4 separate regions of the Mus musculus genome follow, and all the other regions are reported to be linked to region 1. Evidence: microRNA targets listed by miRTarBase, many of them from high-throughput screens and not tested one by one. Region 1 holds a microRNA gene; each other region holds the end of a gene's coding sequence.

Evidence for each region. The annotated mature microRNA mmu-miR-9-5p reads UCUUUGGUUAUCUAGCUGUAUGA and lies in region 1 at 2,567-2,589, opposite strand. An mRNA with a match to its seed (bases 2 to 7 or 8) in the 3' UTR can be bound and repressed. Matches are read on the target gene's strand: a 7mer-m8 pairs with bases 2 to 8, a 7mer-A1 pairs with bases 2 to 7 and ends in A, and an 8mer does both.
Region 2: miRTarBase lists Spred3 as a target of mmu-miR-9-5p. Seed matches in the 3' UTR shown: 7mer-A1 at 3,346-3,352.
Region 3: the mRNA of Cdan1 is a reported target of mmu-miR-9-5p. Seed matches in the 3' UTR shown: 7mer-A1 at 5,177-5,183.
Region 4: the mRNA of Celsr2 is a reported target of mmu-miR-9-5p. Seed matches in the 3' UTR shown: 7mer-A1 at 1,200-1,206.

Annotation. Positions count from the first base shown.
Region 1 is chr13:83,734,293-83,741,409 of GRCm38, reverse strand. Mir9-2 (microRNA 9-2) reads right to left here and starts at 2,596; the gene lies at 2,525-2,596. C130071C03Rik (RIKEN cDNA C130071C03 gene) reads right to left here. Exons shown (of 4, transcript NR_152245.1): 3 at 6,704-6,749; 4 at 102-3,240. Gm51268 (predicted gene, 51268) reads left to right here and starts at 2,534; the gene lies at 2,534-2,589.
Region 2 is chr7:29,155,549-29,162,665 of GRCm38, forward strand. Spred3 (sprouty-related EVH1 domain containing 3) reads right to left here. Exons shown (of 6, transcript NM_182927.3): 6 at 3,281-6,646. The coding sequence ends at 5,978. Fam98c (family with sequence similarity 98, member C) reads right to left here and starts at 662. Exons shown (of 8, transcript NM_001146023.1): 1 at 582-662; 2 at 337-482; 3 at 127-261. The coding sequence starts at 622.
Region 3 is chr2:120,712,349-120,719,465 of GRCm38, forward strand. It overlaps Cdan1 (congenital dyserythropoietic anemia, type I (human)), which reads right to left. Exons shown (of 28, transcript NM_026891.2): 27 at 6,793-6,900; 28 at 3,806-6,579. The coding sequence ends at 6,454. It overlaps Stard9 (START domain containing 9), which reads left to right. Exons shown (of 33, transcript NM_001370940.1): 27 at 277-394; 28 at 502-623; 29 at 827-891; 30 at 1,017-1,219; 31 at 1,399-1,478; 32 at 1,657-1,815; 33 at 2,217-3,533. The coding sequence ends at 2,318. Among named protein-coding and RNA genes, the nearest start is that of Cdan1, 16 kb to the right of the region's middle.
Region 4 is chr3:108,386,353-108,393,469 of GRCm38, reverse strand. Celsr2 (cadherin, EGF LAG seven-pass G-type receptor 2) reads left to right here. Exons shown (of 34, transcript NM_017392.4): 32 at 1-130; 33 at 225-459; 34 at 812-2,622. The coding sequence ends at 839. It overlaps Psrc1 (proline/serine-rich coiled-coil 1), which reads right to left. Exons shown (of 8, transcript NM_019976.3): 5 at 7,063-7,117; 6 at 6,734-6,970; 7 at 6,075-6,192; 8 at 5,239-5,871. The coding sequence ends at 5,868. Among named protein-coding and RNA genes, the nearest start is that of Psrc1, 6.1 kb to the right of the region's middle.

The DNA of each region.
Region 1 (7,117 bases):
AAATAAAACAAAATGTCAGAAGTTTGATGTGTAATAGAAAAAAAGAAAATCTGGGACATGTTGCAGCAGGAGCAGTGGGACAGCAAAAAGTAAAATGAAAATAACATTGAAATGTATTTTTATTGATCGATAAGTTATGTAACATTAGTATGATACAAAGCAAGTTGGATATGACAATGGCAAACACATAATTTTAATATTGTTTATTTTCCTTAGATGTTATAGTTAACATATTTACATAAACGACCCAAGATGTAGGCAAAAACTTCAGTAATGTGACTCCATTGAGAGCTTTGAGTAAACAATAGGTTTCCCCAGCAAACATCTTATTGCCTTAATTGAACCTCCTTGAGAAAGAAAAGCACACACTTTGTAATGTAAATGTTAATTGTAGTAGACAATGGTTCTAGGTAAATAGCACCCCTGGACATGAAGCAAATGAAAGGAATACAGGCACTTAACAATGAAAGCTTGTTTGCACAAACAGTGCTTCCAAGGTAAATAAGCAAGGGTCTTCTCGACTGCCTCTACAGCAGTCAAACTTTGGCACGTGTACAGCGGCCAAACTGAGAAGTTGTGTTATTAAAGTCTCTTGGCTTTTCTAAATGAAACTACCAGTGGCTTTACAGGTTTCTCTGGTGTCAATCTTACAAGAAGTTGAAGCTATAAAGAAAAATGTACTGTCCCTGAAGAAAACTTATGCATTTGGGAGTGTCAGTAATTTAGGCCATATGAAAGAAAAGAAGCAATTTTGGAATTTTTTTTCTCATTGCAATGCTTGTATTTATGTGCAAATGCCTATACAAATGTTTGCCTGATAAAATGTAACAGGATGCAAGGAACTTCAAAAAAGGACTACAGTGGTTTCTCCAAAGCCTCAAAGTTTATGCTGGGACTAGTGACTTTTAGATGAAGAGGGAAGAGGAGGAAGAAAAGGAAGAGGAGGGGGAAAAGGGAAAAAAAAAGCTCATCCGCTAGGACAATTCTAAAACAAAACAAGTTCTCTAACATATTGTGATTGTAATCAACTTTCTACAGACTGATGACTTTATAGCTTTATTTCCAGAATGTAGATTAGCATAAGTAGGCCAAGTTCCTGTGTGTCACACAAGGAAGTAAACAACCCGATGAAGTAAGTCATAATAATGAATGCTATGAGACATGACTTTAAAATATAACACAGCCAAAACAAAAGCCAAAGGTGGTCACAAGGCCCTAACCACATACTGAGGACTTCTCTGAGAAGGGCATGCAGTTCTGGGGCACTCTTGGCACCCTTTCCACTTGTTTTCCTTAAATGGTGAAAATTTCAACCAAAGGAGAAATCCAAATTTAATCATGGCCAGATTAAACAGAGGTTTAAAAATGAACAGAGACAGTACATAGCAGCTACCAACCAGTTGGTGTTGCCATTTGGGAGGCTGCAGATGGCTGTGGGTGGGAAATGCCTTTACTTTCTTAAGCGATGGAGATGAGTATGGTGTGTGTGTGCTTGATGTTTTTTTCATACCCCTACCCCCCAACAGGGCTGTCTGTCATAGGCTGCCGGCCAGGCTTTACCACTTGCCCCCGAGCGTGGGAATCGGAGCGTCCTGCCGTTCACATCTCCTGCTTTCCGTTTAGCGGAATCAATTAGGCAAGACAGACCCTCAGATTCCCCACCCCCTTTCCATTTTTGTCAGGTCTATATACGTCCTAATTATTTCAGTTTGGGATGCCAGAGCTGTTTCCTGGATAGACCTGATCATCCTTAAACAAAAAGAGAGGAGGCGCACACGTGGGTTGTGGCGTAAATGTCACTTTCATTTCCAATGCTAGGCGCAGAGTAAGACAGAACATTTTTTTAACACTTTGACAAGAGGGGAGGCGATCTCGTCTCCATCATGTCTTTCTGCTTCAGTAGCTTCCTCAAGGAAACCCTCTTGGAACAGAGAAGCATCTGTCCTTGTATTTTGAATAGAAGAATAAAAATCAGCCTTTGCCCCCACCCCTTTTCCCTGCTAGCTCTAAGTCTTCGGTAGATATAAATTATTAACCTTCCAGTATAAGCTTTACTGAAAGTCTAACTTCACAGAATTTGATGTACACACCCAAATACATAGAAAGTTTCCAGGCACAAGCTTCAAACTTGGGGGAGGGGCCTCAGATAGGAACAGCCCAAATCTACATAATTATGAAATCATTTTTAAGCGAGGTACCAGACATCACTATAACAGCTTTCTAAGAAAAAAAAAGAAAAAAAAAACCTCATATGTAAACGTTTGCTTCAAAATGAACAATATAGAAAATACATGCATCGTCACCCGTAAAAAACACTACACAATTCTCCTCTCCAGTTGTACAAGCCCCTCAAAGCCTGGCCCCTTTAGATTTCAATATGCGTGTCACTTAATTTTCTTGCATCCCACTTTCAATCATAAGATAAAAAAAGTTAGATTCAATAAGCATTCCTGACCTTTCTGGTTTTTACTGTCTCTTGGTTGCAGTCTTTCTTTCCGGAACGTTCCTCGGTGACCTTGAAGGAGTTTTTACTTTCGGTTATCTAGCTTTATGAAGACCAATACACTCATACAGCTAGATAACCAAAGATAACAACTCGCTTCCCTCACAAGGCTGCCTTCCTCTGGCTGAACTCCAGATCTCGATCCTCTTTGGCTTTAGGGAAGCGTAGTCCTCCGGGGTACTTGCCGCGTTTAAGCTTCTCCTTTCATGTAAACATGACCTGGTTTCTGTCTTAGTGTGTGCGGCTAGAACATCCAAATGAGATCTGTTGCATTCAGAGTTTATTCCAAACTTTTCCCCTTCCAGCAAGTAATCTCCAGTATCGTTAGCCAACAATTCATCTATGAGTATCAGAAATTAAGACCAGAGACTAAGGTGCAGCAAGCTGTTGGGGGTGAGCAGCAGTGTCCTTCTCTTCACAGGCCTCTATTTGCATTGTAAATTGCTTCATTCTCACGGAAGATTCTTTAGCCTTCCTCTACTGAGATGTATAAAGCCATCGGCAGTTTCCAACGCTGGTTAAAGAGGAAGAAGGGGGAAATCCCATTCTATAGAAGTGACAGCTGATTCAAAGATCTGCTCCGGATCATTGGGTTAGGCATCATGATCTTTTTTACCAAGTGCAGGCAGCTTGATTGCACATATCTTGTATGTGAATGTTTTAAGGGAGATCCTCGATTTCTTAGGACTTCTAGGCGGGCAGAGCATGCCCTCTTGCTGGCGTACTGCTGCCCCGGTCTGAAAGAAGGAGAAAAGGGCCATCATTGGAGGGGCTTTCACCGCCAAATTGTGGACCAGCCCGGCAAGGTCAAAGGTTTGAGACTGCGGGAGACCAAGGTAATGATGATGTCATGAGAAATCTCAAGTACATGGTTATTGATATGCATCAGTGGTCACCCAACTGCCCCACGCCTGCTGCCAGGAGTAGCACAGGCGACGGCGGCGGCGACGGCGGCAGCGGTGGCGGCGACGGCAGCAGCAGCTTTGCAGCAGTCCCTATATTCTCAATCAACATTTCATCCACTAGCACTACGGACTGCTCCTTGAAAAGCAACCCGCGGCCTTTTACCTCCTTGGCGCTAGTGTAGATCGCTCTAATATCCAAAGAATGGAGAAAATCTCTCTCTAAGGATAGATAAAAGCATTTCAGGTCTGGGGAACTTCTTTGCCTGCATTTCTCTTCTGGCAGATTGCATAGGCAGGCAGATGGAAGGCACTTTACTATTGCTTAAAGCAGGGCCTCGCTTTCTGGGGCTGGGAATCAGCTCTGTTTTTACGCAGTGAGTCGATGGTTACAATGACAATTTGCTTTGGTGTTATGTTTTTAATGGCTTTACAGCTCAGTCATGTTTTCTATCTGTGTACCGTGGCGATAGGGCAGCATATTTGTTCTGTAAGTTCGAACTGCACGATCTAAACAGTGGGGCTTCTTTTTTAAAAATGCTTTGCATATAGAGTGTGTGTGGGGGTTAGCATGCTGCACAGGTAAACATTGCAGCAATAGTTTCAATGTTGTACACAACTCTGCTGTAGCAAAAATGCTGAGCCTTTGTCTACTGTTTTAACATAAATTTCACACTGGACAATAATGCACTAGACTTGCTTATAAAATTAAAATAAAAGTCTTGTCTCCTGAACATGTAGATCCAACACCTGGATGGGGAGGGAGGGAAGCTACCACACCTCCCTGGCCCCACCCACTCATATCCTTCTATCGAGAAGCAGAAGGTCATTTCATTAATTAATTAGCTTCATTCATTGTCTTAGGAGTTTTTAAAGTGTGACTTTAAAATCACTTCAAAGAATCCTTTTCTTTCTCATCCTTTATAATAGATAATCTGTCTAGCACATCTAATATCTAACATTCAAATCCCTCTCAACAAAATATTCATGGTAATCTACATAAGAAGCATGTTCTCTGTGGGTAAACATTATGGATTATTGTTCAAATTACTAATTATTTTTTAGTAATGTTGCTTTTCTTTAAGTTACATGCTAAAGGAGAATTAGTAATTCTAAATGTACATTGCACACATCACCTGTGCCTCACAATGCTCTCAATTCCATAATGTGTCTATTTTCCCCAGTGGCTAAAATACTTTTGGATTTATTAATTTTTTTGGAATAAAATTTTTCTCAGTAATTCACTAATTTATTCATTTAACACATAAATAAGAACCTGGTTATTTAATCACATACAGAGCCCTAAAATCTAAACTCTGTAAAGAAGAGACTGACAAGTTTTTTTTGTTTGTTTGTTTGGTTTGTGTTTTAATGATAGGAAACATCTCCAATGAAGAGTTTAAACATATCACACCAATTAAGATATGGCTTACAGCTTAGTAACAGAGATGCCAATTTGTCCTTATATTAATTTGTTTACTTTTATGGTAAGCATTCTGTAACTGGCTATTGAGAAAAGACTAAGATGTGGAAAGAGTTCGTCTATATTTCTCTTCAAATTATGAACGAGAAGTCAGAAATAAAATACACACGGACACTACAATCCAATCCTAAAGGCATGTTCATAGAGTTTTTGTTCATTCCTAAACCATATGGTCACAGCATAAACAACTCAGTGAAGCGCATGCCACTTCTGACATCATGTAAAAATCCTAATGAGCTTTGCAGCTTGGAAGATTAAAGAGCACCGTGGCCTTGCTTTCCAAGAACTAGCAGCAGAGTAATTAATGATTTGGCTTGTATTACATAAAATAAGCACGTGATCAGATATAGTCAACTGTGTAAGCCAAAGCCCAAGAAATCAAAAATGGTCTTATAGAATCTCTTTTCTTCACATGTATCTAGGTGTGCTAGCTACATATATATATCTATGTGTTGGGAGGGTGTTATTTATTCACATATTTTCTGAATTTGAAAGTTATTATGACTCTATTCCCATACCTAACAATAAAATGTGTTTTTAGAAACAATATCTACAATGAGTTAACACACTGCATATCTGAACGCTTCTCCCACTAGAATCTGAATAAGATGCTGTAATAAATACCACATTCTTAGGGCAACACTAGTCATGCCAACTTACTACAAGGCCGGTCTCCACGCTTGGTATTCATCATGGGAACTCCAATGAGTGAAATGAGCCAAGATCAGGATTATGGGTAGTCTGTTCATTAGCAATGTAGTCAATTAAATATTTTAACTCTCTATCAACCTCACAGGCACACAGAAGAAATTAAATATACTAAGATTTAACATCGAGTGCCCCCTTATTTATAAGATTGCCAAGGTTTATAAAATGGTTTATTGTATGTATTATATATACCCCACAATACGTTACAATTACATATCTTCAAAGACTCCTAGCGATGTCACCTGTGAAGAGCAGCTCTTAGCAACTACACTTTAAACTTAATTTTTTTTTTGCTTTTAAAAGATTATCTAGCTGAGCTACAGAATATCTACTTGAAAATCAGCATAGAGAAGGATATACTGAATTCAAGCAGCCTGAATTCAAGCACTAAATTCTCACTACTATCTAGTAGATTAGAGTATGGTTGTTGTGCTTGCTTGCAGATAGTTTGTAGGTCTCCAAATTGCTGAAACATGACTTGAAACATCCTAGTTTATTTGGGGATAAAACAATCTCTCCTGATTTACAGTAAAAAGTTATGGTTTTCCTCATATTTGGGCCAGAAATATGCTATTTAATTAATTCATATACACTTGGTTTATGATCAATATTTGGAACGTCTTTGAATCCTATACACATGAATGCAGAATGCATAAGGAACTGGCCCAACACCAAATCATTTTAAATATTTCATTTATAAGAATTACAAATGTGCAAATTGTAGTCTACAGTCAATACTACTATTGTCTTATTTTTTAAGCCATTTTATTTACATTAGTGTCCATGGTCCAAGTGATGAAGTGAACTGGCTTTCATTATAATAAAAGTATCTTACCCTTTCCTCTAAATAGGAGCTTCTTTCTTATAGGCTATTGCAGGTTTTATTTATGTCATGCTCTATGCATATACATATATGTGTGTATTACATCCATACAAAGGCTCCTACAGGAGAAATAACTGTACACAGAGGAACTTAGATGTTTCTGGAATTCTATCTGTTGCAAGAGAAGATGTGTGAGAGATTGTAGACCTGTTTTCCAGTAAACAATATTCTATTTTCGTTTTGTACATCAGTCAGGTTTTATCAAATAAAAAAATGTAAATTACCTTTGTTTGAATAGTCTGTTCATTTTATGCTTCTTTGAAGTGTCATCTGAAAAACAGACAATAAAACAAATGATCACAGTATATATATATATGTATATATATATATCATTATATAGGAATATGACTTAATTTAAAGGGTCACTATTACTGTGTTTTTTTTTTTTTAATGCCAATAGATTATATAAAACACCAGTACTGTCTATCTTGGGCCTTAGCACCTACAGGGTTAAATATGCTAATTTGCATTTAAATGGAGACATGCATGATAATGGGAATGCAAAATATGCAGGATCTAGAGGGGTTTGGGAAATTAATTTTTCTTTCTCCTTTTATTTTTAGCTTGGAAAGAAGAGAGACTTAAGAAACATTAGGGATTTGAACCTTGTAACCTCCCATACAAAAGAGAAGAGAGAG
Region 2 (7,117 bases), not on the chromosome of region 1:
CTGCGGCCTTCAAGCTCGCCGCAAAGCTTTGGCCACACCCACGGGAGTCCAGTCTGAGCGTCAGAGCCCGCCCCATTCAGAGGCCCCGCCCACCGCCACCACCCTGGGCCTTCCAAGCTCGCTCACGCAGCAGACGCAGGCCGCCGCCGGGCTCCCGCAGCACGGTGGCGCAGTCTCCGCCGCAGAGCGCGCGATCCGGGCAGTGCAACGCCCGCAGCCAGCCGGCCAACTGCCGCAGGAACTCTTCCTCTGTGTCCGGGCCTGCGGGAGGAAGAAGCCATCAGGAAGCAGCGGGTTCCGCGGCTCTACCCGCCGTCCACCCAGCTTCTCACGCACCGTGGCCGGCGCCCAGCACTGCGGTGCCCTCCTCTCGCCGCTCCAGAGCTCCCAGAGCCGTCAGCTCGGCCGCCAGCCGCGCGCACAGCGCCCTGAAGTCTGCACACGCGGGACCCCGAGACGCCCCCTCCGGGAGGGCATCGTACCTGCGGCGGGGCACGCGTCAGTGCGAGTCCCTCTGCGTCCGCGTCCCCAGGCGAGTGCGCCCTTCCCGTACCCCCAGGCCACACCACCGAATCTTTTACCCCAGTGTCAGAAGGTCACCCGCTACCATGGCCCCATCCATGGCAACTCCGTCTGCGGACCCGGTGCGCGCGCCCCCTTCCGCCAGGGAAAGGCTCCGCCCCCTCTTCCCTCCGCCTCCTCTCTCCCGCTGCTATCCAACCATATTCTCGTGCGAAGGCGCTTCCACGCTCCTATTGGCTTGGTCGCGCGCCACGCGCACCCTTCAGGTAACTTGTCCAGTGTAAATTTTATAGCTTGAGGTTTGGATCTACGAGGTCGCAGGAGGCTCGGGTGTCCCTACTGTCCGACTCTCAAGAAAAAAAAAAAAAAAAAAAAGCAAAAAGCAACTTATTTAACTTTTATACTTTTGGAGGCAGGGTCTCGATTTATACATTTATGTAGCTCAGGCTGGCTTCTTAGTCCTGCTTCCTCCTTCTGTTTGCTGGTTGACAGGCGTGTGACACGCCCAGCTGCCCTTTGTTCTTAGTGCACCCCAGACCGAAAGTCCCATCCGACTTGTTTTTCTTCCACTTTAGGATTAGATTTTCAGCACGTCTTCACATCCACTCTCCCACCTCAGCCAGACCCTCCTTCCACCTCACAGTGGGTCCAGTGTTAGCCAGACTCTCTGCCTCTGTAGGCCTTCGAAAGAAAAAGCAGATGCCATTGAGAAACTCCATCCTAAGGGGGAGGCAAGCCGATGGGACTGGGGTTGACTCCATTTGCCAGCTAATGTTTCTGCCAAACTGGTTTTTTCCATCTATGCGATTGGGATCCAAGGGCAATAAAGTATATGTTTTATGTGCCTGAATGTCGTGTGTGTGTATGTGTGTGTGTGTGTGTGTGTGTGTGTGTGTGCGTGTGCATGTGTGTGCGCGTACCTTGTGCCCACAGAAGTCAGAAGGCTTACAATCTCCTGCAACTGGACTTCCAGGACTTCCAGGTGGTCGTGAAGTCTTGTGTGGGTGCTGGGAACCAAACCCAAGTCTTCTGCTAGAACAAGTGCTCCTAACCACTGAGCCATCTCTCCAGCCATTAATATATTAAATGGAATCTGGCCTCACTAAGACCCTCCTATCTTAGCCCCCCAAGATCTGGGACTATAGGTTTGTGTCACACCCAATGTTTCAAGCACTCATTTTTTTTTTTTTTTAAGATTTATTTATTGTTATATGTAAGTACACTGTAGCTGTCTTCAGACGTACCAGAAGAGGGCATCAGATCTCATTACGGATGGTTGTGAGCCACCATGTGGTTGCTGGGATTTGAACTGAGGACCTTCAGAAGAGCAGTTGGTGCTCTTACCCACTGAGCCATCTCGACAGCCCCCTCAAGCACTCATTCTTAAAAGTGTGAGGATTATGGTCCATATGTTAAGGTGCATCCTTAGTTAATAACAAGTAAAGCCGGGCGTAGTGGCGCACGAATTTGATCCCAGCACTCAGGAGGCAGAGGCAGGCGGATTTCTGAGTTCGAGGCCAGCCTGATGTACAGAGTGAGTTCCAGGACAGCCAGGGCTACACAGAGAAACCCTGTCCAAAAACAAAAATCCAAGAAGTCGGGGAACTGGACTTGCTGCTCTCTCAAAAGCTGGCTCCCAGCACTGACCTCTGGGGGTTCGTAAGCACCCGAGGATCCACCATGCTCTTTGGCCTCTTTGGGCATCCCTGCAAACACACATGTACATAAATACAAAATAATGTTTCAAAACCAGATCTGGTGACTTAGACATGTGTCCTCATAGGAAGATCACCACAAGTTCCATGTATGTGGCCCACAAGCACCAGAAACTCCAGGTCACATGCATGGAGCCACATATAATTTTAAAATATTAAAAACAAAACAAAATCCTTGGGCTAATAACCTTTACTCCTTCTTTGGTGTTGGGCCTTACCTCAAGCTCTTGCCCATGCTAAGCATGTGTTCCACCACTGAGCAACATTTTCAGCCTTCTGTCAAACTCCATGTGTAAACCTAGGAGCTCTGGTTGGAGAGAGAGCTAAGCAAGAGAGTACTTACGGAGCATCTGGGTTTCGGTTCCCAGCAACCACATGGCTCAGTTCTAGGGAGCCCGATACCAAGGAGCCAGGTGGTGCATACACATACCTATGGGCAAGCGAGCACATTTCTTTTCAATTATGGAGTCTTTCCAAACATCCATTAACCTCCCTCTTCCCTCTCACAGACACTACCTGCAGCTCCACAGGGACGACCCCAGGAGTCTTCCTCACACAGCGATAGCCTTTGAAAATGCAAATCAATACTTGGGAGCCTTCTTATGGTCCCATCTCACTCATTGGGGTAACAAAGTGTCACTCAAAGCCTCTCCACCCTCCCCTCCCAGGATCCACCTTGCTTAACTCCATTCCATTGGGGTAACAAAATGTCACTCAAAGCCTCTCCACCCTCCTCTCCCAGGATCCACCTTGCTTAAATCCATTCCCAACTTACCAGCCCAATTCCTACTTTAATGGCTAGTGCTGGTTGGCCCCTGCGCACACCCACTGAACCCCCTCCCCTCCCGTTGTTCACTGTGTCGCTGCCAGTCACAATGGGGCTTGACACATTAGGGGCTTAGTAAATGTACTTGACTGGACATATAAACCAGCCAGATGACCAGCTCAGGACTGCAGAATGTAGAGGGACGAGAAGTAAAGACAAGCCCTTCGGGTAAACAAGGGGACAGGGCGCACCAACACGAATAAAGACCAGGCGGAGACACAGTCACAGACATTTCTTGGAGCAGATCTCAAGTCCCCTCCCTCCCCCAATGACAAGGCTGGGTCTTTGGCCCCCATCCTCCCTCCACATCAGCCTGCCCTGACACTAACAAGGTTACAGACTGGCTTGGAATCAAGATCAGGAAGAGAAATGTTGGCGGACCTCCCCCAAGGTCTGGGGGGCAAGCAGCTGGAAAATTGGGCTCGGGAGCTCTAGGATCTGAGGTCTTCCTGGCTCCCAGGGTTCAGTCCTCCATGCACCCCAGATATGGGGGCAATGAAAGGTAATCATGGATCAGAGGTGGGTATCGACAAGGAACAGGGCAAGGGGACCTGGGAGAGGGGGTACTGGAGATGGGGGACTAGGGAACCTTCCCCAAGTCCCCACTGCTTAATCCGAAGATCTCACAGCACCATACAGCACTCTGGTCCCCCTCCCCACCCCTTCCCAAAACGAGGTAGGTTAAGAATGGAGCTTCCCCCGCTTACCATGGAAGGGGGGGAGACCGAGGCACAAAGAGAGGATGGGGACGCAGGCTGCCCCAGCCCCCAGTCCCTCTGCCCTCAGCTCTGGTGGGTCTGACAATTGATGAGAGCTGGGCAGAAGGGGGATGGGAGGGACACCCTCTTTCCCCATTTTCTCTCACCCATCCCAGGATCTGCTTGGGGGAGCTGAATCACAGGTTCCGGATACAATAAATAGTTAATAATTTAAAGGAAGTGACACAAATATTCATCCCTTGAACCCCCACAAGGCCACCCAAGTCTGGGTAATGAAAAATGATTCAAGTGTACATTCCCAGGTACTTAGGGCCAGATGTAGGTCCTAAGCCCATGAACCATCAAGACTTTGGCTCTGAAATCTTAGTTCTCCTATCCAGGACACCTGATCCTAGTGTCTCTACTTAGGGAAAAGAGGCTGTGGCTCCTCTCTTCTCCATGGGGAAGTACTACAAAACAATACTGAGCTTTTCAGAGCAACCCCCAACTGAGATGGAAGAGGTTCACAGGGGAGGGACCTGAATGTACTAGGGGTTATAGTGTGGGAAATCTGCAAGGTTGGGGTGGGGGTGGGTCTTCTGGGGATCAATTGCTGGCCCCGGAATTACAGGTGTGCAAAGGGTAGGCCTTCTGCGGTCTCTGCTTGATCCCTGTAGCTGCCTGCCTCTGCTGAGCTGACAGCACACAATCTTCCATAGCAAAGCCAGGCCCTAGAGAGGGGAAAGGGGAAACTGCTAGGTGATCCCGGATTCCAGGAATCTGAATTTACACTGGCTTAAGTACCCTGCCCTAGGATAAAGGGGGTGGGGGTGGGAGTCTGGGCATTGCTAGGGCATTTCAGTTTTATGGGCCTCTGGATGGCAGGACATGGGAGACGGGGAAATCAGGTAGTGAGGAAATGGGGGCTTCATTAGTCTACAAGTACTTTGAATTCAAGAACACCTGGAGCCTAACGGTGCTGAAAGACTGTGGCATCTTGTTGCTGAATGTCTCTGGTCTGAAGGGATCAAGGTGTCAGGCCAAAACCAATCCCAAAATTGTGAGGGCTTGACTCCTGCACCCAGGGTCCAATGGCATCTTGGGTCTTAGATCCAGGGCTCATAAAGCCCTTTGGATTTGCTCTCGGGCTGAGAGTCAAGGAATGAAGGACCTGGGTTACCATGACCACCGCATCTTCTAAGTTCCAGGCTTCCACCCAACGTGGTGGAAGGGGAGTGTAGGCAGAAGGAAGCCGATGTTTCCAGAATATTTTAAAATTCAGGCCTAAGGGAAACCGGAAGGTTAGCTAATCTCTACAAACCAGTGTGTTGGGCCCAAAGTGCAGGTGGCCTTCAGGCAGACATTTAAGGATACCAGGCATCTCAGAGCCCATCCACAAGACTCAAATTCTCATGGCTGGCTTAAGGAGTAGGTGTTTGGAGCCTGGCTCCCCCCCCCCCCCCCCAGCATCTTGGTATCTGATATCTGGACCTTGCTGAGCTCTGAAAAGAGCCTCCCAAGTAATTTTGGTCTGAAAATACCTCATATGTGAGGATATCTAAGGAGTTAATACATTTTAAATCTGGGGTGCTAGGGAATTTGCGGGTCACTTGCACATGAACTGATGGCAATGTCTGTGGACTCTCAGGAGCGGGTAGAGTTCAGGCCAGTATCTGGTGATTCCAAACCATCCTGGGGCTATAAGAGCATCTAAATGTGAAGATACCAGGTCTCAGGTGAAAATTCAGGGACCATTTTCTGGTGATTCTGGGTCCTCTGGTCTCAAGGTCTAAGTCATTTGATAATAGTGTCAAGTTTGAGTAACTCTTGACTAGTTTGGGGGCCGTAAGATGAGTGTTTACAATGTCAAGTATGACCTGAAGTCTGGGTTGGGCATTTAGACAGAGTCAGGGTCCAAGATGTGAGCTCCTGGGCCCCTTGAGATGCAATGTTTGAAAATATTCTAAGTCTTCTCAGTGGGGAAAAGGTATGGAGAATCCAGAATTCAGGACTTCGGGTGGGCAGACACCCTGATGAAGCAGGGCCTCGGTATCTCAGTCCTCAGTTTGGGGTCCAGGTACCAGATCTGGGATCTCTCAAATCCATTCAAGTTCCAGATATACCTAAGTTTGGGTTTTAGGTTCATATGCTGTTCAGGGTCCTGGACCTTCAATTTTTGGGTCTTCAGACCGATTTCCAAACCAGCTCAACAATCCTCACCGTGCAGCCTCCTCGTGGCGACCCCCACAGCCCGCACAGCCACAACGTGCTGCAACCCAGTGACAGGCGCGCAGGGGCGCATAACAACAGAGACAGGGCACTGCCAGAGACAGAGCAGCCAGAGCAGCCCAGCGCGCAGCAGGGCGTGGGTGGCCTGGCTCACAAGCACACGGGTCCGAGAAGTCACCCTCGGCGTCTGACAGGCAGTGGTACAGCAAGCTCTCGGCACACCACAAGCAGCTGAGCCGGCGCACTAGCAGGCGACCTGGGTCAGGGGCCTCTGCGCAGCGACCACCACGCCCATCTGCCCGGCGGCGGAAGAGTGCTCGGCAGTGCACACAGCGTGCAGCCTCCTCAGCCTCTGGGGAGGCTTTGGCTGGAGCAGGGGTGGGGCCTGGACCTGGGGGTGGACGAGCAGGGGGTGCTGGGGGTGCAGCCTCTGTGAGAGGGGCAGGGAGTGACACTGGAGGACCCAGGGCTGCACCCCGCAATGCACCAGTCTTGGCAAAGCGCACAACGCAGGTAGACAGGGCAAGAGGTGGAGGCGGTGGTCCAGATCGCCGGTAGTCCTCATAGCCGCGGCTGCCCCAGCCCTGGCTCCCTGCCCCAGCTAAAGACTCTGAAGGTTCAGGAATCCCAGTGAACGGTAGAAGCGGAGGGTAGCTCTGCAGAGCCAAGGGACAAGGAGGTCTGGTTAAGGACATTTGCAACTTACTCAATACCCATAAGCTACCCAGGTTCAGAAGACCCAAAATCCCAGAATGCAAACAGAAGGCATCAGTCAGAAGGGACTGTGTTCCTTTGAACTCTCTTGGGCTCGGGGTTCCTCATGCCCGCAGAAACAGAACAAGGTAGGCAGCAAACACACACCTTAAGGGCCTCATGGCTTAAGATTTCCCAGTTGGGTCACACTCAACCCCAAGTCCCTCCTTCAGGATAAAGTAAACAGTCTTAAGAAGTCCTTCCATAGTACCAGCATCTTCTAACACACTAGAAAACCTATCCACGTCATCCCACAAGTCCCTGCATAAACTAGGCAGCCCTCAAATCTCCCAGAAAGCTAGAGACACTTGGAAGTTCCTACCAGCTCTCGGGAGTCCATGAGTCTTTGTTCCCAACCCAGCGCCTCCAACACC
Region 3 (7,117 bases), not on the chromosome of region 1:
AACTATAGTTTGATCTGAAAAGAGTAACACTGGACCTGGCATCAAGCCCATCCCCAGTGGCATACTTCCTGCAACAGGGCCACACCTCCTAATTCTTTCAAATACTGTCACTCCATGGTGACCAGCAGTATCACCCTGGATGAGCCTAAAGGCTTGAAGGCGCTGGGGGCCATACTTATTCAAACCATCATAGTATCCAACATCCTGAAGTGGAATTGCAATTTGGAATAGTGGAAAGCATTCTGGGTCCTGCTCTGAGTATCCTCTGTTCTGCAGGGGGACTCTCAAGTGCCAGATTCCCAAGACACTTGGATAGGGGACTGGCAGGACCAGTCCACAGTGAGGAACAGTTACCTCTATCTGACTGGGTCTTCTTGGAAGAGCTTAGCCCACAGTGAGTATAAAGCTCAGGGAATGATGTCTGCAGGATTTACTGGCCCTGTATCACTGTCCCACCACCCTGGCGTTCAGGTCATTGCAGAACCTTCATCTCTGTTGTAGGCCGCAGAGCCTCGATGGGCAGTGGCTGCTGCTCTGCCTCCAGCCTATCCAGCTTAGGGGCCTGCTTCTCCTTCCCCTACCAGGACTTGGCCAAACACATTGTCAGCACATCAATGGCTGATGTGAGTCTCTGGATCTATTCATTCCTCCCTCCTCCTGTTGCTATAGCTGGACTTACATTGGTTGGGGAGGGAGACAAAAGGAGTTGGGCAGATTAGGGCCACCAAGGCACTGAGGCTTCAGGAACTCTTTGACAAGTGGGCATTTAGTAAATGTTAGCCATACTGATGAACCTAGAGGCCTCGCGTCTACCCTCTGCCCCCAGGTAATGGCTGCTTGTTCGGATAATCTCCACAACCTCTTCATCCGCCAGGCGACAGATGGCTGGAAGTAAGTTATTTTGCCGCCATGCTTTGGTCCTTCTGCATTATTCCCCTCCTCTCTGCTCGGCTCCCTGGCACACCCCATGCTAGCAAATTCTTTTCTGACTGTTTCTTGCCTCTGGTGTCCCCAAGCTATCAGGGTGAGGAGCAAGAGGTACAGCTTTACTACAAGGAATTCTCTTCCACTCGACATGGGTTCTTGGGTGCAAGTGTGGTGTCCCAGCCACTCTCTCAAGTCTGGGCAGCTGTGAGTGATCCCACTTTGTGGCCTCTGTATCACAAGCCCATCCAGACAGCAAGGCTACATCAGCGGGTGACCAACAGCATCAGCCTGGGTGAGTCTAAGGGCTTGAAAGCTTCCAAAGGCCTGGCAGGGAGTCAAGAGGTAGAAGGTCAAAGCAGCACTGTTGGGAACTCTAGACTTCTCAGCAAGACCACTAGGGATCCAGTTATGGAGTAAAGCAGGGGCTTCTTAACACTGAAGAACTAGGATTCAATCTGTCTGTCTTTCTAGTGTACTTGGTGTGCAATACCACACTGTGTGAGCTGAAGCAACTGCGAGATTTCTGCTGTGTCTGCGTGGAAGCCAAAGAGGTGCCCATGTTGGGGTGGTAAAATGTTATGGGATGAACTTAGGCTAAAGTGCTGTGAGGTGCAATTAGTGGGGTGGCTTGAGTGCTGAAGGTATTACCTCTGATCACCCTAACTATACTCAAACCTGTCCGTGTTTTGTCATTACACAGGCAGGACTCACATGTATCTCTGTCCCTAGGGGTGCCTATCAATCATGGCAGCTCAGTCTGTGTATGATGCATCCATGCCAAGACCTAGCAGAAAAATGGTCCGAGGAGAGATCCTGCCCAGTGCTTGGGTCCTGCAGCCTGTCATCATAGAGGGGAAAGAAATAACCAGAGTCATCTCCCTTGTCCAGGTGACACAGCACTACATCGTCTCATGGCACACCTTGGGATATTTCTCTCCAGTTGCATAGAATCCAAGAATCCACAGTTGTCATGCCATTTGGTCAGAGTGGGCTAATAGTAAGGGGAATCAGAGAGGGAGGAATAAGCAAGTTGAGTCTTTGTGAAGCTCCCAGCACCAGAGATTGACCGACTTATATCCTGTGGCGAGCCACAGTGTCCTTAGGAAATAGATGGACTATTGAAGCTGAAAGCAGCAGCAGACCAGAATCCTCACTTACCTTCTTGTATGGCTCTCCATTCTCAGGCCAACTCCAACTTCATCACCGGGAGGGGAAAGCTAGTACTCAGATCTAAATGCTCAGGCTGCTCCAGGCTTGTTTGTATCTTCAGTTCTTCCTTCTGCTTTCAGGTGGAGCTGGGTGCACCAGGCTTCCCTCCCCATCTTCTCAACTCCTGTATCAAACAGCAGCCATTGGTTGTGGCCAAGCTGGCATCTTTCCTTCGTAGTTAGCATTGGGCCACGGAGACAGCAATGCTGAGATGTAGGCCCAGGACAACTGAGACTCTACAGCTGCTTCTAGACCCTGAGGCAAGAAGAGTCCAGGCTGCCTGCTATACAGATGGTATAGCCAACTATACAGATGGCACCAGCCCAGGGTTGCCAGTAAAACCAGTACTTAGTTACCTCTGAAGAGTGAACAACCTGAAGCTCCTGTCCAAAGCATGAAATCAACTCACCCTCAGGATTTCTCACCGTCATTTCCTGCCTCTGGGACTCAATGGCACACCACGTGTTCAAAGACTAGAAGAAGCACGGTCTGGAGAGCTGGAGACTACAGTGCTTTGGCAAGGTGCCTCCTTTGCAGGCAGGCACTGGCCAAGGGTGCTCTGGATCTGCCTCCAAAATTTAGCTCCATTGTGTGATGGAGTGGCAGAAAGGACCAAAGCATATAGTTTAAAGAGTCATCTATCTGTACCAACCAGATTCTGACTCCGAATTCTCTCTCATTGAACATTTACAAACATTTTCTCTTCACATTACTCTCCCCACTCTGTGTGTCACTGTGTAGGCAGTACAGTGGGAGACAACTGAAGAAACAGACAGGGTGTGGGGCCTGAAGACCAATAGGTAGGGACAGCCACATGCTGCTTGCAAACAAGGTAAGAGGGATTTCAAGTCTTAGAGAGGATTAAGTTTAGCACAGGCCTTGACCTTGTACTAACATACCTCAGGTTCCCAAATGCTGGGATTATAGACCTCCCACACCCAGTACCTACTTCTTTGTATATTAGTAGGGTGTTGTGGCACATAGCTCTGGTAGTAGAAGCAGGAAGACCAGAAGATCATCCACAGATGGCCAGCCTGACACATTAGACCCTGTCTTAATGTCTTAAGCTCAGTACTTTGAAAGATGCTCAATAGTTATTTTTGTTACTTAACTGTTTTAATATGATAGAAAAAGGGTGGTTTTTTGTTTTGTTGTTGTTGTTTTGTTTGTTTGTTTTTTGTTTTTGTTTTGGATCTTGGCCTGGTTGAACACTCTGAAGATTTTCCATGTTGATTCAGAAATGGTAGGGATAAGAAATTCCCTTTTTTCCTGTCACTCCAAATCTTTGATGGAAGAAGGTTCTTTTAGGATTTAAGACTGGTTAAAGAGTAAATTTCTTTAGATTTTCTATTCTTTTCTATTGCAAATTGAATGTTTTAAAATTTGCTTTGGATTTATCTTTATGGTAGTTTTTGGCAATATTTGATAATGCAGTGTTACACATATGCCTACCAATTTCCTCCCTGCCCCCTTCCTTTTTGTGTGTTTTTTGAGTCAGGATCTCACTCTGTAGCTTTCCAAGTCCTACACTAAGGCCAGGAGCTACCATGCCCAGTTTCTACCTCTTTTCATTAAGTGCTTTACTGAGACTATTAGCCAAAAAAAAAAAAAAAAAAAAAAAGTCAAAATATTACTCGTAAAAAATAAAAAAGCCAGGTAGTGGTGGGGCACACACACATTTAATCGGCACTCAGGAGGCAGAGGCAGGCAGATTTCTAAGTTTGAGGCCAACCAGGTCTACACAGTGAGTTCCTAGGTAGCCAGGGCAACACGGAGAAACCTGTCTCGAAAAACAGTAAACAAATAGAATGTGCCATTGAAGGTGATAATGGCAGTGTTTACAGTTCAGGGTTGAGATTCTACATTCATCGGCTAGTGTATGAGCTCAGCTACTGTAGGAATCTGACAGCACAGGGTGAACGGCCCCTCCTGAGACCCGAGTCAGCAATCTGAAGCACACAGTCAACTCTCTAGAGCTTCATCTTCCACATCTGTACATTTAACCATAGATCAAAAGATATTCAAGCAAAGTTTCTTGTCATAATTATTTACATATAGTTACATTAATTAAATCATTTCTGGATAACATATTAAAGGATACAGAAGGGGAAAAAAGGAAAACCCAAGAATGTGTATAAAAGGATAAATGTAGTTATAACACTATGCCATTATATATTAAGATGGTTGACCACCATGCATTTCCATATTTGTGGGCCTGCACTGATCCTAGAGAGTATAGGTATCACCGAGGCTGGGTCTGTTCCTGTCCAGGCATGGAGAGCTCTGTAGAAAGTCCCAGGTGCCTCGAGGCCAGTGGTCCGCAAAACACACAATACAAATACCACTATTACCCAGAGGCTGCTTTTGGTAAGAAAGAAGTTCTGAGGTAAATCAATCAGCCATTCCAGTCCCTACAATACAAATATTATTAAAAAAAAAAAAAAAAAAAAAAAGAGTACTTGGTACAGAATGGAGAATAACTAGTTCTCTACTTGAGTTACCTGCCTGCCTTTACAATCAGTTGTTGGAGCAAGCTGTTCTAAGTGCACCTTAAGACAGGCTCGCTTCATGGCTGAGTCCTTCAGTCAGAACAGTTTTCTGAGCTTCAGGCTTTTGGCCTGCTGCTCACCTTTACCAGGACTCAGCTTTCTGATACTTCTAGGCAAAGAAAGAGAAAAACCATGACTATCCACTGTGCTTGGAGCACTTGCCTCACATGTGAGGCCCTACCTAGGTTTGATAACCAGTACTGACAGAAACCAGCAGTTTGCCATTAACATGTGTGAGGCCCTATCCTAGACTTGGAAAAGGAGTTAAGGAAGAAGAGGCACACACCAGAGGGTTAGTAGCACTGGGGTGTAAGTTTAGAGAAGCTTAACTTAGGTCAAAACCCTTTTTGCCAGCTGCAAAGTTTTCCCCTAAGATTTTGCAGTTGACTTCGAGTTACCATTGAGCACCTCTGATACTTCCACTAAAGTCTGAGTCTTACCTCCAAAACAAACAACAGTTGTCAGGGATAAAGCACATTATCAAAATACTATCTTTGGGCACATGGTGGCACATGCCTTTAACCCCAGAACTTGGGAGGTAGAGGCAGGCAGATCTCTATGAGTCTAAGGCAATCCTGGTCTACAGAGTGAGTTCTAGGACAGCCAGAGCTACAAAGAGAAACCATGTCTTGAAAAGGAAAACAAAAACCCTTAAAATCAGCTGGTTACAGGGGCTGTCAAAATAGCTTAGGGCTAAGCCCAAATGACCTGAATTTGAGCCCTGGGATCCACATGGTGAAAGAACTGACTCCCAACAAGTTGTTCTTCAACTTCCAGAAGTGTGCTATAGCACTTGAGTGCAGTCACACTGAGTATAATAAAAAATTTAAAAATCACCTCATTTATAGAAATGAGGTCTTGCTAACTATAACCCAGAAGGCTGCTTTTGGTCAGAAGGAAGTTCTGAGGTAAATCAGACATCCCAGGGCCTACAATACAAATACCACCACAGCCACCTGCCATGTGGGTCAGCATAGACAGCAGGGAGTACATGGATAGTGGATGATGCTAGTTCATAGCAGACTGTGTCTCTAAGACTGGCTCTCAGCGTGACAGACGCAAACATCATGAAGAAGCAAAGCAGCTCGCTTACTGCAGTGCACAAAGCCCACTTTCAGAAAGGGGATGAAAGCAGGGAGAACAGCCATCACAACCTTGTTAAAAGTTTTATTTTAAAAAAGCCCAAGCCCCTTAGATTTTCTACATCAGGCTTGGTCTGACTAGTTCCCTGCAAAGAGGTGACGGTCCATAGAAGACCAAGTTTCACTTAGGCGAGTCCTACCTTATTGGCTGTCAATATTTGGGGATAAGGGTGATAGTCCAGCTTCTGGACACAAGAAAAGGTAGACTTCCAAATCCATGTTTGTCAACTTTCTCACAAGCAGAAGTTCTTTGCCTATTAAGATTTCTCAGAACCACAGTTTTAAGAGATGCTGGGATAGCAACTTGAGGCTCGAAATACATTGATCAGCACACGCATTTCTTTTAGCTGGATTAAAAACGCCAGCCCTTCTGTTCCAAGATCGGAGTCTCTGGGCTTTTCCACTGTGACTCTGAATCAGGTTCTCCTTCCTCTAGATCTCAGGTGTTGAGGCGGGCCGGTGTCTGGATGCTTGAAGCAACACACTTCCTTCACTTAGGAGCAGCAAGCCCGGTTACACACCTGGACACTCTTGCCCCAACAAGGCGTGCAGTGGGGTCTTGAGGCTCCTCCTGAGGCACAGGAGGCAGGTTCTGGTGACATGCCCAAGAGGGCTGCTTCCTAGCCCTAGCTTTGGGCCAGTACTGTCCCTCGGTTTGGTTGCATAAGTTCACAAGCTCTTAGCTGGGGTTCTAGCAGATGGGGCTCAGCTAGGAACAAGCGAAACAGTGTTGACAATTCTTCTGAGAAGTCCTGAAGTAAGTAGAAAGGTTAAGAGAAAAAGTAATTCTGGATGTTCTGTCCTTTCCAAGGTCAATCCTAAATAAGCACTCACAGCCAGGAAGACACTGATAACCCAGCGGTTTCATCTAATGTCTTCTATGCAAAAGCAGATACAAATCTCCATGACTGGTAAACTAAGGTTTATTAATGTATGACAAAGCAATTAACATTAAGACTCCTTACCCCTGGCCACTGGGCCTCATTAAGGCGGCCTAAGCAGGCTTCTATCTCCAGATGTCCCATGAGATCCTTTTCTACCAGCTCCCGGAGTAAGAACAACAGCAGATCCCACTGTAAAACACCACGGAGAAAGTCAAAAGTTGTCAGGATCATTGAGTAGTCCTAACAGTAGAGACTGAAGACTGGATAGCAGTCCCAAGAGTAGACATCTGAAAGGATGGAGCTGGGGTTGGAGATAAAGCTTAACATGCTGTTAAGAGCAATTCCAACACTCAGGAGGCAGAGGCAGAGGTAAGAAGATCTCGAGTTTGAGGCCAGCCTGATCTAC
Region 4 (7,117 bases), not on the chromosome of region 1:
TTTGGGACCACAACAAAGGAGAATAGTGGTAGTGGGCCCCTTGAAGAGCGGCCACGGGAGAATGGAGATGCCCTAACTCGGGAAGGGTCTCTGGGACCCCTTCCGGGCCCTTCTACCCAACCTCACAAAGGTGAGTGGAGTCTCTCCCATCAGCTCCACTCTCCCATTCTCTTGCCGGAGCTATTAGGACTTCCCATCTCATGATACCCACACCTTGTACCTAGGCATCCTCAAGAAGAAGTGTCTGCCCACCATCAGCGAAAAGAGCAGCCTCCTAAGGCTGCCCCTGGAGCAGGGCACAGGGTCTTCTCGGGGCTCCTCCATCAGTGAGGGCAGTCGGCACGGACCTCCTCCCCGCCCACCTCCGCGCCAGTCTCTGCAGGAACAGCTGAATGGGGTCATGCCTGTCGCCATGAGCATCAAGGCAGGCACGGTGGATGAGGACTCCTCTGGCTCTGAGTGAGTCGGGCGGGAGAGACGGGGGTGGGGTGGGGGGAACCTGCCTGAGGTCCTTGCTAACCCAAGCCACTGACCCACTGCTGCCTCTGAGCTTCACCGGGCTACTCTGCTTGGCAGTTGGGCTAAGCGGAGTCCAGCTCCCTTGTGCGCCCAGACAACATGGTGCTCTGTTGGGGGTACACCAGACCCCCTGGGCTTTATGCGCAATGCCTGTCCCCCGTCTTGCGAGAGGGTGGGGGCTGGGGCTGCTTTTCTGTTTCTTTTTCTGGTGGAAGCTGTTCACTGTCCCCTCTGTTGCTCCAGCTAACCCTCTGTCTGCCTTCTCTGCCACTCTCCTCTCCTGCCTCTCCAGATTTCTCTTCTTTAACTTCCTGCATTAACCCTGGGCCGGTGTTCCTTCGTCCCCTTCCCCCGCTGCGCTCATGCCCCAATCCTGTCTTCTGCTTTATCCTGCCCCTGCTCCCTACCGCCCACCTGCCTGCCTTCCGAAGCAGCAGCGACGAACCGTCCATCTGAGGAGCCTGGGCCTTGCACCCAGAAGGCCAACTAGTGCCAAGTCCCTCCCCCACCTCCCCCTCACTGCACTTTGGACCCTCGGGGGGGCCAACATCTCCAAGACAAAGTTTTTCAGAAAAAAAAAAAAGAGGAAAAAAGAATTTAAAAAAAGGATCTCCACTCTTCATGACTTCAGGGATTACTTTTGTTTTTATACGCCGGAAGTGGACTCCCCTTTCCCCTTCCCAAAGAGGACAGGACCACCCAGGACGTGTCCCAGCCTCTCTTCAGTTTCATCTCCTGTGCCTCTGGGAGGAGAGGGACTCTTAGGGGGCCTGCCCCTCATTTGCCATCACCAAAAGGAAAGGACAAAGCCACGTGCACCAGGGGCAGGAGCCCCTGCAAGGCTGCACCGGACAGACGGACAGACAGGCCTCAGTTGGTGAGGGGTCAGGACAAAAACAAACAAACAAAAAAAACAAAGGCACTTTCCACCCGCCAGTTCCACCTCTCCCAGGAACTGACAAGCCCTGTCCGGCCAGGGGCAGAAGGACTCATGGCCCCTGGACCCCCCAAATGCTGCATGAACCGTTTTTTAAGGGGAAGCCTGTTGCCCCCGTGATGGGGAAGGACTACCCCAGCCCCTCTCCTTTTCCTGGACTCTGGCCATGTGCTACAGCCCAGGTGTTTGCTCAGTTTGCTGACCCCAAAGTGCTTCATTTCTCCTGCCCACCCTTGCAGGTAGGGCCAGTCACTCTTCCATTGCTTCTTTGCTGTGTGGGCGGTCCCAGGAGGAAGGGTAAGCGCAGAGCTGGCATGGTGGCCCTGAGGGGCCCCCAGCACAGGTGCCAGGTCTGGGTTCTGCTGTCCACTCACCCCCTCCCCGCCAAATCAGACAAATGCCATTTTTTTTTGTCTGACCTGCTGTGGCCTCTGAGACATGTTCTATTTTTAACCCCTTCCTGGAATTGGCTCTCTTCTTCAAAGAACCAGGTCCTTGGTCCCCATTGTCCCCCTACTTGACCCCAGCTCCCTGCGAAGAGAGAGTTAATATATTTTTTATTTATTTGGGTTTTTTTTTTGTGTGTGTGTGTGTGTGTGTTGGGATGGGTTTGTGTCTGGTCCCCAGGGGGTCTCATGTGCCCATTGCAGGCTGGGTGAGTCCCTGGCAGCCCTGGATTTGGGGCCTACCATCCTTCCTCTCGCTCCATTTGCTCTCCTCGGGTTTTTGCAACCACCGTTCATTTGAGTCCCCCTCTCCTCTGAGCATGTATTCCAGACTTGTCACTGACTTCCCTTCTAGAGCAGGTGTAGAATAAAGGCTCGAGGAGGCAGGAAAGATGTCCCTGTCTCTCATTTGGAAGGCTGGCCGCTGGCTTTTCTGCCATGGATTCTCACCTGCCCTCTGCCCTCTTCCCCTCAGCAATTCCTGTAAAGGGTTAAAAATTTAACTGGATATATTTTTTTTTAACTACTGATGACTTGACTTAAAAAAAAATACAAAGATGCTGGATGCTAACTTGATACTAACCATCAGATTGTACAGTTTGATTGTCGCTGTAAATATGGTAGAGTTTTGTTTTTGTTTTTGTTTTTTTTTCCCCCCCCATACTACTGAATAAACTAGTTCTGTGCAGGAGCCATGTCATCGCTGGCTTCTGTAAAGCAGCCTGGGTTGAGGCCTGGATTGTGGGAAACAGGGTAGGTAGAACCTTGACGATCCTGAGGACAGAGAGACTAAAGCCGCAACAGCACAGAGCGCTGAGTCTGGCGGTTGGAAGGGAGAGAAGGAAGATAGGTGGATATTGTTTTCCCCTAGGATATAAGCTTGTACCGCTAGAGAGGCTGGGGAGACTGGGGAGGCTGGAGAGGCTAGAGAGGCTGGGGAGGCTGGAGAGGCTGGAGAGGCTGGGGAGGCTGGAGAGGCTGGAGAGGCTGGGGAGGCTGGAGAGGCTGGGGAGGATGGAGAGGCTGGGGAGGATGGAGAGGCTGGGGAGGATGGAGAGGCTGGGGAGGATGGAGAGGCTGGAGAGGCTGGGGAGGATGGAGAGGCTGGGGAGGATGGGGAGGCTGGAGAGGCTGGGGAGGCTGGGGAGAATGGAGAGGCTGGGGAGGATGGAGAGGCTGGGGAGGCTGGGGAGGATGGGGAGGATGGAGAGGATGGAGGGGGTGGAGAGGCTACACAAATCAGGCCGGTTCTCAGCCTGAGTCCCAGACAAACACGTTTTCTAAGGCAGAATTCGGTAGATAGGAAGAAGTGGAGTGGGAGTTTCTGGGGCTTTTTTCTTTTCTCTTTTCTTTCTTTTTCTTTTTCTTTTTCTTTTTCTTTTTTTTTTTTTTTTTTTTTTTTTTTTTTTTTTTTTTTTTTGGTAAGGGTTTCTCTGTATAGCCCTGGCTGGAACTCATTCAATAGATCAGGCTGGCCTCGAGCTCAGAGATCTGTCTGCCTCTGCCTCCCAAGTGCTGGGATTAAAGGTGTGTGCCACCACCACCTGGCTATTGTGGGCTGTCTGTCTGTCTGTCTGTTTTCTTGGGGGAATAAAGCATACACTCATTCTGGGAATAAGTATGTATTTGGTGACACTACTTCTAGTCCTAATTTTTGTTTTTGAAAGCTCCATCCAACAAATGAGGATATAATGAACCAACCCTGGAACCTCAAGCAGCAGCCTGATTTGTTTGCGCCTTGGTTCTCTGTCTACAAAATGAGGGCAGTGGTAACAGCAGCTGCCTAATTGAGCTTTTAGGAGGATTAAATAACTTAACACATGCAAAGTGCTTACAACTTTTCACAGTGCATAGCAAGAGGCCAATAAACACTGGCTTCTCCTGTTGTTGCTTGTGGAGTGGAAGAGGTGTGGAGGACGGAGAGAAAATTAGAAATCTAAGCCAGGGAGGAGGCGGCAAGCAGGTAGCTAAACAAGAAGGGCAGCTGTGGCAGGTAAGCACTACCACCAAGTGAGTTCGGCAGGTTTGGAGTCAGCGAGCCCTATTGGGTGGAGGCAGAAACTCAAGATTGACCCAGTGAGAGAAAATGCTTTGCCGGCTCCAGCCACCAGGTGGCAGCAACACAAGGGCTTGTGGCTGGCTTTGCTTCCCCACCCACAAGGGCTTGGTTCCAAAACCAAACAAAACCAACCAACCAAAACGGAACAAACCTGCCACCTACTGGCCATGCCGAGGTGTGTGTTCTTAGGCTTGGCTGCTACTGCAGACGCCAGTTAGAAGTTGCCAGCAACTTCTGTTTCCTGAGCTCTGTGCAGACTTATTCACTGGGATGGAGGCCCAGGACAAGCAAGCCTGGAAGACCCCAGGAGATCAAGGGGACTCAGCTACTGGCTGGTTGGTAAGCTTGACCTCACTATAGCCCACCCAGAAGACCTCCCCCTGAGCCAGGCTGTTTGAGGGGAGATAGGCTGGAATCTGGGAAACACACCTGAGACTTTCTTGCCTTGTACCGTATTTCTTCAAATCAGAACCCATGACATCTGTGTTATCTGCTCCCTCCCGCGTGTCAGCTCTGAGAATTTCAGTGGCTGTAGAGGCTGGAATGTAGAGGCAGCCACCACTGTGTATAGTCCCCGTGTATTTATAGGTGTTATTAAATTAATCTTACGGACAGCCATAAGGAAATGCTATGGAGGGCCCCTGGATGTGGGGATAGGGGAGGAGCGCTGAAGGCCTAAGAGCACTTTTGGACACAGTAGCGGGCCACCCTTTCTCCTTTATGCTCAGTTGCCTTTAGGGAAGTTTCTTCTTCATAAAGGACTGATTTAGTTCTGACTGCAGGAGTCAAAGGCTACAAATCGGATCCTAAGCTGGGCTTGTTAAAACCTTATTCTGTTTTCAGTGAGTACTCACTACCATGTGTCCATTCTGCAGTGTTCCACCAGACAAGCTATAACACAAGGGCACAGTCAGAGTTACTAAATTGTGATGCCAGCCCTCGGATCCAGCAGAGGAGCAGAGAGAGAGCACAGGCAACCCTAATGAAGTGAGGTAGAGGCAACCTCAGAAGCAACACCAACAAAGGGCCTCTATCCCCTAAGGGGTTCCATTGTCTTGTCAAATAATAGTTAAGTCTAAGGAGTAACAGTAGACTTAGTTCCTACCATAACAGCCTCAGGCGCTGTAGGTGAAACCTCAGTCAACTTTGATCTGGACTATCTGTAAACACTGAAAGGAGAAAGGAGACTTGATTGGAATTGACCGGCACCAAGGGACTAGTCACGGCTGCAGGAGCTGGAGGTTCAAATCCCTAGGGCCTATGTCTGAGAGCTCACTAGAATTACACAGACGTTTATTTTAAAACTGTTAAAATCTACTTTCAGATATACAGAAAAAAATTTTTTTAATTCATTTATTTAAGAAAAAATATGAAGATGTGAGTAAGCTTATAACTGATTGACCTGTGAGAAGTCAAAGAATTCATAGGAAACAAGTTCTGTACATCAGCTGTCCTCCTGGCCTTTCCAAACAGACCAGTATCCAGTCAGGAAGACATGTCATAGAGAACTGAGCCGGCGGGCTCCTAAGGCCGCTCATATGGGAATGGCCAGTGAACCGTGGTAGAAGATCAAGCTCTCTAGTCCTGACCACAAGATGGAAGGAGACAGATAGGTCACTCTGCCTGCATTTATTATTTTGTTTGTGAGTTTCTCCACGGGCAGATGACCTCTGCCCCTCTCTTCTTCTTTCAGGGCAGGGTAGGGTGGGGTTGAGTCCCCTCAAGCTCAAGGCACCCGATCCCCCATAGTCTCTACTTCAGAGGTCAGCCCTGGAGGCATCTCTTCCTCCCATCTCTGGGCACAGAGCTACTGGAGTTAGGGACCACTGGCAGAGGAGAGTCCAGACTTTGATGGCTAAGATGGTAGTGGCTTGCTATTGAGTCTTTGTTTGCTGACGTGCTCTTCTTACCTGAAAGAAGAGGGGGGGGGGGGTGCTTTAAAAAAACCTTCTTCCTCCGGAGCCTGTCTGGTACCCAGCCAAACTCACACCCCCTCAGGATGGGAGAGTAGCACCCCTCACCCCTCTCCTCCCCACTCAACACAGAATTCGAGGATGCTGTGTGCACCGCAGCTTGGAAGCCCAGGTGATGAGAACAGAGGGACCAGTTTTACCTAGTCGGTCCAGGGACTGCAGCTTTCCTGAGGGGCTGCGCCCTGCCTCGAGCGGCACTGGTGGTCCTGCCTCGAGCCGCACTGGTGGTTGGAAGGTTTGTTTTCTGGGAAACAGAGGCTTGATGGAAATTAACAAGAGATGAGTTAGAACGAAGCTCAGCTGACGTCATCAGAAAGACTGGATGAAGGTATGTGTTTCCTGACCAAGGTAAAACCATGAGCCACGTAGAAAGCAAGGCATTCCCTCCTTAACACTACGTGAAAGTAGTGTTAACAGCAGTTACAGCTGTAGTGGGGGAAGATCAAGCCGTGTCACTGCAGACATTCTTCTATCTAAGGTTCTCTGTTTTTGTTTTGTTTCTTTGGTTTTTGAGACAGGATCTCCCCATAATAGCTATGGTTGTCCTGGAACTCACTCTGTAGACCAGGCTGGTCTTGAACCCAGAAATCTGCCTGCCTCTGCCTCCCAAGTGCTGGGATCAAAGGCGTGCGCCACCACTGCCCGACTCTATTTTGTTTTTCTTTTTCTCCTGAGACATGGTTTTATATAGCTAAGGCTGGCCTTGAGCGTCTTATTCTCTGGTGTCTACCCTCTGAGTGCTGAGACTACAGAAATGTGCCACCATGCTAAGCCTGACCATTTGTCCACTCTATCTTACCTCTGTGCCCTATGGCGCTTGGATGCCCTTTCTGAGTTGAGAGAGAATCTGGAGCTAGGGCACCTTTTCCAGGTGGTAGACTCCGCCCAATGAGTGGCACTCGGGTGGCAGGCTTGGGGATGGCTGAAGGGACAGGGAGTCGACTGGAAGACTTGACAGCTGCTCCCTGGAGCCGGGATGAACATTGGGAGTTGCTAGCTGAGGACTGTGGAACTGGTCTGACAGGAATTGGTGGGCCTGTGGACAGGAGTGTAGTCGGGTCAGGGTGGAGCTCAGCTCCTCTCTTCCCCTCATCAGCCTCGCCCACATCTCTGCTGCCTGGGTCTCACTTGCTGTTGTCCGGGCACCGAACCCAGTTTTCCGCCGAGGTGGAAGAATTGGTTG